Arabidopsis thaliana: one gene and its partner. The protein of the gene in region 2 interacts with the protein of the main gene of each other region in a pairwise test. Each region holds a gene or a part of one and is shown on either strand. Other genes may lie near its edges. The genes, in order: AT4G25920 and AT1G34320.

What was found.
Region 1: the proteins of AT1G34320 (region 2) and AT4G25920 interact in a two-hybrid assay, tested with the Arabidopsis thaliana proteins (one large-scale study listed by BioGRID).

The regions. Positions count from the first base shown.
Region 1 is NC_003075.7:13,163,582-13,167,507, reverse strand, and holds AT4G25920 (hypothetical protein (DUF295)), read right to left. Parts: upstream 2,034-3,926; coding exon 1,977-2,033; intron 1,895-1,976; coding exon 1,140-1,894; intron 1,028-1,139; coding exon 667-1,027; 3' UTR 636-666; downstream 1-635. Other genes in the region: NFU3 (NFU domain protein 3), read right to left, coding at 2,414-2,605, 2,702-3,000, 3,076-3,193, 3,279-3,380.
Region 2 is NC_003070.9:12,518,123-12,524,948, forward strand, and holds AT1G34320 (Ikzf5 (DUF668)), read left to right. Parts: upstream 1-1,936; 5' UTR 1,937-2,257; exon of another isoform or gene 2,258-2,371; 5' UTR 2,372-2,590; coding exon 2,591-2,905; intron 2,906-2,985; coding exon 2,986-3,311; intron 3,312-3,398; coding exon 3,399-3,491; intron 3,492-3,586; coding exon 3,587-3,677; intron 3,678-3,763; coding exon 3,764-3,857; intron 3,858-3,987; coding exon 3,988-4,091; intron 4,092-4,192; coding exon 4,193-4,262; intron 4,263-4,394; coding exon 4,395-4,498; intron 4,499-4,713; coding exon 4,714-4,830; intron 4,831-4,958; coding exon 4,959-5,035; intron 5,036-5,244; coding exon 5,245-5,289; intron 5,290-5,386; coding exon 5,387-5,924; 3' UTR 5,925-6,255; downstream 6,256-6,826. UniProt on the Arabidopsis thaliana protein: Promotes seedling growth probably via the regulation of phytosulfokine (PSK) signaling; PSK are peptide phytohormones acting as growth factors. Together with PSI2 and PSI3, required during vegetative growth and reproduction.

The DNA of each region.
Region 1 (3,926 bases), on a different chromosome or scaffold from region 2:
GCCATGTGCACGAGTGTTTCCACTTTGTTGTGATTGCGCATTAAGTTGTGGCCGTACCTAAAAACAAATGCATGGAAGAACAAATAAGATAACATGTTTCACCTCTCTTCTTGTGTTTGGTGAGGAGCCATTAAATCAAATTAAAATGTTGAGTAATTAACCTAATAGTTTGTATAATTGTTTATTCAAAAGCAATGTCTATAGTATATATACCACTTGACGAGGAATTGTTCACCGGAGGGTGACTCCACATAGTGATCCACCACAAAATAATGTAACAACACTCAAAATATGTGTTGTGATTTTGATTTGACGTGCGACTCTTTCGTCTTCCCCGTCTCTGTCTAGTGAATACCGAGGGTACTACACCTTAGGACATTAAATATACATATTTAGAGGATAACTTGTTTCAGGAAATAAATAATTATATAAGTTTTGTGCCAAAGTGTGTCTTACGTATATTAATTGAGAAATATGATGAATTAACCGAATTCGTTTAGATTCGCCTTCTTTTTTTTTTGGTAGGATAGATTCGCCTTCTTTTAAGGCACTAATATAAATTTCATTGAACATAGATTAAAAGAGAACATTGGATTTAAATGAAATCATGGGAAAGCAAAGACAGCGATAACATTAGCGAAACATAAACACGTGCAAGAGAGATAATTAATTAGGAGCTAGTACTGGAAAGGAAGCCGGAGGAGGCCAGTAAGGGAATTCCAATTTCCTTAATGGATTATCATCTTTTGTGAGGAACATAGTGCAAGTTTTGGTGGTGAGATCATAAACACCAAAGTTATAGCCCACAAAATAGATGCAGTTAGGCTTGAGGCCAGGGGACGAGCTAGCCGGGACGCAGAAAGCCTCACTATGTCCAACAAAAATGCAAAGATCTCCAATGTCTTCTGTATAGATCATCTTCTTAGTGTAGACACAACTCGGTTTCTCTCCCTCTTTAAACACCATGAACTTTTTTGTTACATTATACAGTGTGGTGTTGTCAATGTCCTCTAAATCCTCTCCATACCTGCAAAGACATGATAAAGCGCGCCAATATGATACTCAAGCAAAGGATTAGAGATTTTGGTATATATGTTATGAAGACAAAAGCTATATATAGCTTTAATTAGATAGTATACCACTTGACTAGGAAAAGTTGGCCGGTGGGTGACTCCACAAGGTGGTCTGTCCTAGAACATGTACTCACGTCGGCCAACTCTTGAAACACCGATTTTGGAAGATCGTCAAACTCCAATTCCACGAAATCAATTAGGTCGTCGTCCTCTGAGTGAGGATCCAAATAGCACAAGATGTTGCCTCCGGGAGTTGGAACGTAGAACTTTTTCTCTTTCTTGGAAAACATGATGCTCGATGAAGGGTTTATATTCTGAGGCTTGGTTTGGATGTTGATCCATTTACGGCTGCCAAAAGGCCTGCACATACTCAACTGAGATCCCAATAACTTGACAACAACTACCCAATTTTTGTCTCGTTTAGGTAAAGAGGACATGACCAGGCTTTGGATTTGTGAACCCGTCGGTAGAGGAGGTAGATCAACGGTCAAGTCTTCTATTTCGGGGTCAGTAGGCTTGTAAAAGATGGTGGGAGAACATACATCGCCGTGGTTGCCACAAAGCTCGACTCGCAACCCATCACGAGAAAACCCGACAGTCATCGCATCACAGACCTCCTCCTTAAGATCCTTGTCCTTAATCAAGACTTCCTTTTCATTACCGTAAACGTTTGTTGTTACGCGACCATCGGAGGAAGAGTTTGGGTTGTTTAGGATGTAGTCAATCAACAGAAACGGGAAGGCTGGTTTAGACGAGAAGGGCTGATTCACTTTAGTACTCGTGTGAGTTGCAGATGAGAACAGACGAACGTTTGCGTGTCTCTGCCATAGTTATGTTCAAGTATTCAGAGACAACAAGAACAAAATTAAAGTTAAAAAGAAAAAGCAAGAGAAGCTTACGTACGAGGAAATTTTTGCAGACAGAGGGTTTGAATATTCGGTTGATTATAAGCTTTGACATTGTTGAAACTCTTAACTATGTTATGTCTGTGTTTCCTCATATCTTCTTATGTCCGACTTATTATAGAGATTCTAGTATCCTTGCTCACCAAGAACTCGCTATAAATGCATATTTAATTAGAGAATAATTGGTTTAAGGAAATAACTCTTTAAGTTCGATTATCTTTGTGTAGTCAAGTCATGAATATTTTATAACTGTTACCTAAAAACAAGGATCACTAGAGAAAATGTCCTTCATACATAGGATACTTTTTTTTTCTTTTCCTTTTTCTTCAACAGAAATGGTTATTGTATTAGTTGTACTAATTATATAATTGGAAATAAAATATATTGAATCAAAAATAGGCCTTGTATATAAGTTACAAAATAAAAAGGTTAATGTCACTCTAGAAGCTGGACTGCACCTATAGAAGGAATTGTTTCCCTCAGTTTTTGAGTCAACGCGACACGAACAGTCATGACTCCAGCAGCTGGTCCAGTGAGTCGAACCTTGACCACGTAACCATCAATCTCAACTAACTCAAGCCCCCCACCTCCAGTACCGGATAGGTACGGCCTTAACTCAGAGAGAACCTAAATTGACAACAAACCAAAAAAGGACCATTCAGATCAATTTCAAAACCAAGGGGCTAATAAACCAAAAATAACTAAACCTTTAAAAAACCAAACCTTCTCAATGTTCTCATCGTTCAGCTCTAAACCTCCTGTCTCGGATTCAAGAAACTGCTCAACGGACATGATCTCTGGAATCTTGTCTCGAAGACGACTCTCGATTCCCATCTTCAACGTCATTGATGAGCTAGGACACGAACCACAAGCTCCTTGTAGCTTTAAAACCACCACAAGTCCGTCGATTTCGTGCAACGCCACGTTTCCTCCGTCGGCCATTAGAGATGGTCGTACTTCGTCTAACACTCTCTCCACATTCTCTTCCGTTAACGGCATGACGCAGCTCACGTGACCAAATACTAAACCAAACATAACAAGAATCTAAATCACAACTAAAGTTCTAAAGAGATTGGTCTGGTTTGCAAATCAAGTACCTGTTCGTTTTCTCAAAGGTCGAGTGTGTTGTAGCCAAGAAAAATGTATTCTTTGAAATTGACCCCTGAGGAATGTACTGCATTTGGAAGAGACCCCTAAAGTATCTGAAATTGCGTTCTAAACACAAGCGAAAGAGGAGAAGAAGAAATCAAGCAAAAGGAGTCATTTTTTTGGTGAAGCTCGACGAAGTGATAACAATTACCTTAGAATTGAGAAGCGACGAGCGGAAATTAGGGTTCTTCTCTGCTGTTGAGAGCGAGAGGTTCATCGTTGTAATTCGGGTTTGACCCGAAACAGAACCCATTTGGAACCTCACTTTTCTGCTTCACGATCGAGAGAGTTTCCAGAAATTGTGAAGATTTGGGGAATTCGGGTGGATCAAGTTTCTTTTTTTTTTTTCCCAGGAGATTCTGTAGCGAGAACAGAGTAAGAGTGGGAAAAAAAAAGAGAGAACTTTTCATTGGTGGATTGATGATGATATTGATACGTCTTGGAGATGATTTAATTTTGTGGCTAAGATTTTTTACTTTATTAATCAATACGACAGAACAGACTCCCAAAAGAAATATAAAATTAAAAAAAAATTGATTGTTCGACATGGGCTTCGCCTCTTATAAAGCCCAGCCCAAATATAGATAGACCCAAAAACGAGAATTGGATTCGGCACATCTAAGCAAGCCCATCCCAAATAGTATCATCAAGGGTAGAAGAAGAAATCTTCGGCTAATCTAATTTTTTTGTTTAGACTGATGATTTAAGAACATGAATTTTGCAAATAACCAATATCCAATTATTGTAGTTAACGCACTTTTATTTAATTACATTTAACAATTATTGTAATTAACGCACT
Region 2 (6,826 bases):
CTTTGAATTTAACTCTATTTGTTTTATTTTGGAAAGTTGATGAGTGATTGTCGGTAACTATACTAAAAAATGGTTTTGCATTTTTCTATAGGTGTGGTATGCCTTGGTACGTGGAGGAAACAAGTTAGACACATAAGCACATATGTACTAGACGCAAATAATGTCACAAAAACGGTTTAAAATATCTAGTTTTCAGTTTGTATGTCGTACTTATAACCGAACGTGTGTGAAGTTCTCATGTCATGTACCAGTTCTGTTAAACTAATGAAATATGTTCAGAGGTTTATGACCACTATAACTATTAGACCTGATTTCAATTAATCAAGAAAAATCCAAACTTTTTAATATATGCATTATGCTTTACAAAATTGTTTGATCTTCTACTGATGTAAAGACATTTACAAAATATAGTTATTTAATTGATTCTAACTAATTTGTTCGCGCATAGCGCGGGCCGTAAACTAGTATTTGATAATTCAGGTGCCTTTGTTTTGTTTTCTTGTATTAGGAGTGTGGGGGCTAATGAATTAGTTACAAAAAATATAAATTGAATTGTGGAATCATTTGACCAAAAAATTGAGCAAAAAAAGAAAGAAAAAGAAATGTAGAATCAAAATATTCATGATGAATTGCGATGGAGACAGAAGAATAACTCAAAAGATTTGACCAATGTGAACTTGTTGAAACGTGGAATTGGTCCAAAAGAGAGGCAACCTTATCATTAAATTAGGCTAATTCGCAGTTAAATAAGTAGCCTAAAATACTAAGAATTAATTTCACTTAGTTTATCATTGAAATTGGTTTAGGATCATGTTTATGAAAATACGATTGAAATCTCTTTCTGTTTTTTTTTACAACTACAAACTACTAATTAATATTGAAATCTCAAGACTTGAAAAAAAAAAGATAAAAACTCGCTTGTAATTTGTTTTTCTTTTGAATAATTATAACATTCCAAATAAATGATCATACCTTTGAAGTTCCAAATCATTTTATAGCTTTTATCTTTTATGTAATAAATAAGCTATGGGCCATCACATTCCATTTATTTACATAAATACTAAATGATAATAACAATTATTTTCCTATATGATATCAACATTTTTTTTTTATTCAAGCTTCCTACCTTTGACCATGCTATAAAGCTATTATGACATTGCCACACATAGGTTATTTGGTAAAACAATGTAATTTGAAACCTACTTTAGATTCTGTTGTCCTTTACTTGGTAAAAAGTCAACTTTCATTTTCAAAACTAGATATGCATATACATGTTGACTGATTTTCTTCACCTTTTTCTATTTCAAGGACTTACAATAATTACCAAATACTTCCTTCATTCACACAATCAAAGGTACAAAATGGTTAAATATTTCAAAATTTACTACTTGATACAACTTAGTTTACTACTTGGAATATACAACAAAAGATATTATATTGTAATTCTTTTATATAACCATAACTCTTTTTTGCCTCAATAATATTGAATTAGAATGATTTCAAACAAAAGAAAAATAGATTGAAATCACAAAGAGAAAACAATATTTATTCCGAATCTTATAACTCGACGAAAATCGATTTTATCGACATTAATTATTCCATCACAATACTAATTTAAATTCCAAAAAACACCTATCAAAAGTGAATTTTCGCATAACAAACTCGAAACATTACACCGATATGTATTTGATGATAATTTGATAACAACATATGGTATTCTTCGAAATTGACGTGTCTTTATTTCTGATTTCTGTTGAAGTGATCCCAATTCAAAGAATTTCAATGAAATCCATTTAAAAGACTATATAAACATAAATTTAACTATGTAAATAAAATTTGGTAACATACAAAATAATTCTAATTATGTAGTAATATTTGATAATATAAAATATACTGCAACTTGTTAGTAAAAAAATAATAAAAATGTGTAAATGGGATTGAGAGTTTTGAAGAGTGTAGAAATGGGTAAAACGAGAAAAAGCCTTTGGGGGTTGAATTTTTGGCTAACTTCACCATCTGACACTCTCCAACTCCTCCTCTCTCTTCAGACTAACCCAAATTCAATTCATCTCTCCTCTCTCTCTCTTTCTCGAGTCGCGTTTCTTCTTCTCTTTTCCTTGTAGACATCTCCACGATTCTTCAGCTGAGAGCTTCTCACTTCTCTCTAGAGCTTTGCTCAAGAACTAGCGACGAAGAAGAAGAAGAAGAATCTGAACTTCAATCTAATTCCCAGATCCAAGTTTCTGACTCTTCTTAGGTCTTTCTTCTCCATTCCTTCAAGCTACTGAATTGAATTTGTCGTTTTGGGTTCTTCTTTAGCTAGGGTTTTCGATTTCCTCTTGACTTTAAAATCTTCTTGATTCATTGGCAGGTTTCGTATGAGAGAATCAAGTTTTTTTCCACTGAGCAATTTGCTCCATTAATGGACTGTTGCTTTCATACAAATCAGGATTTGCGATTACAGTGTTTCGCTGGTTACATTGTTCATCCATTTCAAGTTTCCTAGAGAGTTCAATCCGAGATCAGAGTTTTTTTTTGCGTATGGAGAGTTTCGAGAGAGTTTGAGAGCTAAATTTGGAAACTTGCTGTGATGGGTGGGCTTTGTTCAAGGAGTTCATCTGTAAATAATGCTCCTGGTGGAACCTTTGCACATGTTAATGGTCATCATCTCAATAACAATGCCTCTGACTTGAATTCTCATTCTGGTGAAAGTGGACTTAAAGATGATCCTTCTCCTGTTACCGAGAATGTTGATGATAATAAGCATACATCGGAATCGTTTTCGTTTCCTATAGTCTCTAGTGGATCTCATCCTCAAAATATCGAGGATGGGATTCCTCGGTTATCGAGGGTTTTATCTCAGAAATCTAGATCCACTAAGTCTAGACAAGCTGCTGTTGCTAAGGTATATAAAGAAATGTTAAGCTGTTGTGTGTTGTTAGTTCTGAGTTCAAATTTATTATACTAAGGTGTTTTTGTTTATAGGTTTCGGAAGTAAGCTCTCTTTTGGGTAGGGCTGGTACTATGGGACTTGGTAAAGCTGTGGATGTGTTGGATACACTCGGGAGTAGTATGACGAATCTGAATCTTAGTGGGGGGTTTTCTTCTGCGACGACGGTGAAAGGGAATAAGATATCAATCTTGTCTTTTGAAGTTGCTAATACTATTGTTAAAGGCGCCAATCTTATGCATTCTCTTTCGAAAGATAGCATTACTCATTTGAAAGAGGTTGTGTTACCTTCAGAAGGTGTTCAGAACCTGATATCGAAAGACATGGATGAACTGTTGAGAATTGCTGCTGCTGATAAAAGGTAACAATTGTTTGTGATTGTGTTCTGTGTTGATGCTGTTTTCTAATTTGTAGTTTGGAGATAAGTGACGGTTGAAATTGTATACAGGGAAGAGTTGAGGATTTTTTCTGGAGAGGTGGTGCGTTTTGGGAATCGTTGCAAGGATCCTCAATACCACAACCTGGATCGTTTCTTTGACAGGTTCCAACATGATCCTGTCACTTTGGTGGTCACACAACGGGTGTATTCCTTTTGGAAAGTATCTGACTTTTCATTAGTTCTGTGTTATGATTTAGGTTGGGCTCTGAATTTACACCCCAGAAACACTTGAAACAGGAAGCAGAGACCATTATGCACCAGATGATGTCATTTGTTCATTTTACAGCTGTACGTATTTTCATGCAAAATTGTGATATTTGGTCCTGTTTGACTTCCTCAATAGCGATCTACTCTGAGTATATGTTATGTTTCAGGACTTGTATCATGAACTCCATGCGCTGGATAGGTTTGAACAAGATTACCAACGTAAGATCCAGGAAGAAGAGAACCCAAGCACAGCACAACGAGGTAAGTACCAAAAAGAAAATATCTATTCTTAATATCTTTGGGAATGGATGCTATTGTTTTACACTCTAGTTTCTTCTATTTGTTGGATGTCGTTCTAATTTATCTTCCATTTTTTCTCCTTTTACATAAGGTGTGGGAGATACCCTCGCTATCTTGAGAACTGAATTAAAGAGTCAGAAGAAGCATGTTAGAAACTTAAAGAAAAAGTCTCTTTGGTCTAGGATCTTGGAAGAGGTAAGGGCTGCAATAAACGTATAATATTTCCTTTTATTTGGAGTTGCTTGGCTCATCTGCATTCACAATTGCTAATTCTTGAAAATACTAATAATACTTAGGTGATGGAGAAACTAGTAGATGTTGTCCATTTCTTGCATTTAGAGATTCACGAAGCCTTTGGTGGTGCGGGTGAGACTCGATTATTGGATAAAGCGTTTTCGTCTTATTTTAGCGTTCAGGAAGATAGAGGATTTAGTTATTTTCTTGTACCTAAAATGAAAGATGTACTTACAAATCATGGCCATTTCACCTGATATGCAGATCCTGATAAGCCTGCAAATGACCCGCCAATCAATCATAAAAAACTGGGCTCTGCTGGTCTTGCCTTGCATTACGCAAACATCATTACTCAAATTGATACTCTTGTAAGTATATTATTCTTTTTTATCACTTAGTTTTACTTTCAATGTTTGGCCTGTTGTCCAAACTCTAGGTTCCTGGGATTGTAAATCGTTTGTTTCTCGTATCCAATGGTCTCCCGATTTCATTAATAATCTACCTCCAAGCATCAGCAATAATAATATGATTGGACCCATACGGCTTGTGGAATATATTTTAAATTTATCATTTCTATGAGTAGGTGTCCCGGTCTAGCACTATGCCTGCAAGCACAAGAGATGCTTTGTACCAAGGTTTACCCCCAAGCATAAAATCTGCTTTACGCTCCAGAATACAGTCCTTCCAGGTTAAAGAAGAGGTATTAATACTGTTTCACACTTCCCATAATGCTTTTGTGCTGACAAGATGAATTTACCATGTCCAGTGTTACTTGAAATGTTATTTGTATCCCTGCTCACCTCACTATATCTGATTTGTTTTCACCAGCTCACTGTTCCTCAAATAAAAGCTGAAATGGAAAAAACATTGCAGTGGCTTGTTCCTGTTGCTACAAACACCACCAAGTAAGCTTCTGTGATGTTTTCTATCTCTTTATCTTTGGTTTTGTGTCATCATTAGAACTCTGTTCTCACTTAAATCATGTATTTTTTTTTGGCGGATCAATGGAACATGTGATGTCTTAATTCTGTTAACAAAAGCATGTAAAATTCCCTTAGTTTTAACTATTAAAGTAAGTCAGACTTATTCTTCTGTCTTTTCTTTTCTCAACCAGAGCGCATCATGGTTTTGGATGGGTTGGAGAATGGGCAAGTTCCGGGTAAGCCCTGACTACAAGCTGATTCTCTCTTTGTGCTGTGTATATATGCAGACAACTGCATTCTTTACTAAATGTTAGATTATGCAAAATAACTCAGGTCGGAGGCGAACCAGAGACCTGCAGGTCAAACCATACTAAGGATAGATACTCTTCACCATGCAGATAAAGAAAAAACCGAGGCTTACATATTAGACCTGGTGGTGTGGCTCCATCATCTCGTTACCCAAGTCAGGGCCACTACAGGTTATGGCCTAAGATCTCCTGTTAAGTCTCCAATCAGATCACCTAACCAGAAAACGATCCAACTCTCCAGCGGTTCACACAACCCGAGTATGGGTTTGCCATTGCTGACTACGGAGGATCAAGAGATGCTTAGAGATGTAAGCAAGCGGAGAAAGACGCCAGGAATAAGCAAGAGCCAAGAGTTTGAAACGGTGGCTAAAGCACGTCTTTGTAAGCACCATAGGCTAAGCAAAAGCAGTAGCCACTCACCAATGATGGGCGAGATGATGAAGAATAAGAAGGATACTTTCTCAACCAGAAGACCTTCTTCTGTTCCCATCATTGATTTTGACATTGATCGCATGAAAGCTCTCGATGTGATTGATCGCGTGGACACCATTCGAAGCTTGTAGTTAACTACTTCCACTCCATCAGAGTTCAGAATAGGGGTTGAATGGATGGGAAACACCACTCTCTTATCACCAAAAGTTGTTGATATGATGAAGAATCTGAATGTGATTCATCGCACGGTGCCATCGAAACCCTTTATAGGTGATGAAAAAATGGCAGAGGTTAGTAACTTTGTACTCTTTTTGGTTTTTGTGGGTGTAATTTGGTTTGGTTTTTTAGCATTTCCTTTGTATTTGTTGTTCTTTTTCTTCTTATAGTTGTATTGTGTACATACAAGAAACTTTATTACATATGTTTGGAGAATAAAAATAGATTATCTTTCCAAATGGATTAAACTCGAATTTAGACTAATAATCACCAGAGAAGCAACTGATAATTGAGAATCATAGTCTTATTAGCAGTAATTAACATTTGTAAAACGCCATAAATGTACTTCACATTACAACGCAAACAAACATCATCATTAGCTAATTGGCTTAGCCAGAGATCTCAATGGACTTAACTTGAGCCTTCATATTTTTGTAATCGTTAGATATAGAAACTATATTCATCCAGCACATGATAATGTGTGTATTTGATATAGAAGAAAATATCAATTGAAGGTGGCATGCAAATTTGATTTATGTTTGATCATTCCAACTGCACAGTCTTATAAACTAAACTTTATAAACGTGACGTTGTACAACATCTCGATGCGTCTGTAGATGTCCTTTCCGCTCATTTGTACTTCGTTTTGGACAGAATGCTTCTCAGTCTGAGCATCCAAGTTACCTTGGATTTGCAGGCCGTCATCGACTCATCGGCTCTCGATGATGCTCAGTGGTCATCCAAGTTTTTTTTTTATCCAAAAGTTTGTTGCATACTAGCATCCCTATCTTTCCTTGAGCATATCCAACATGTTTGA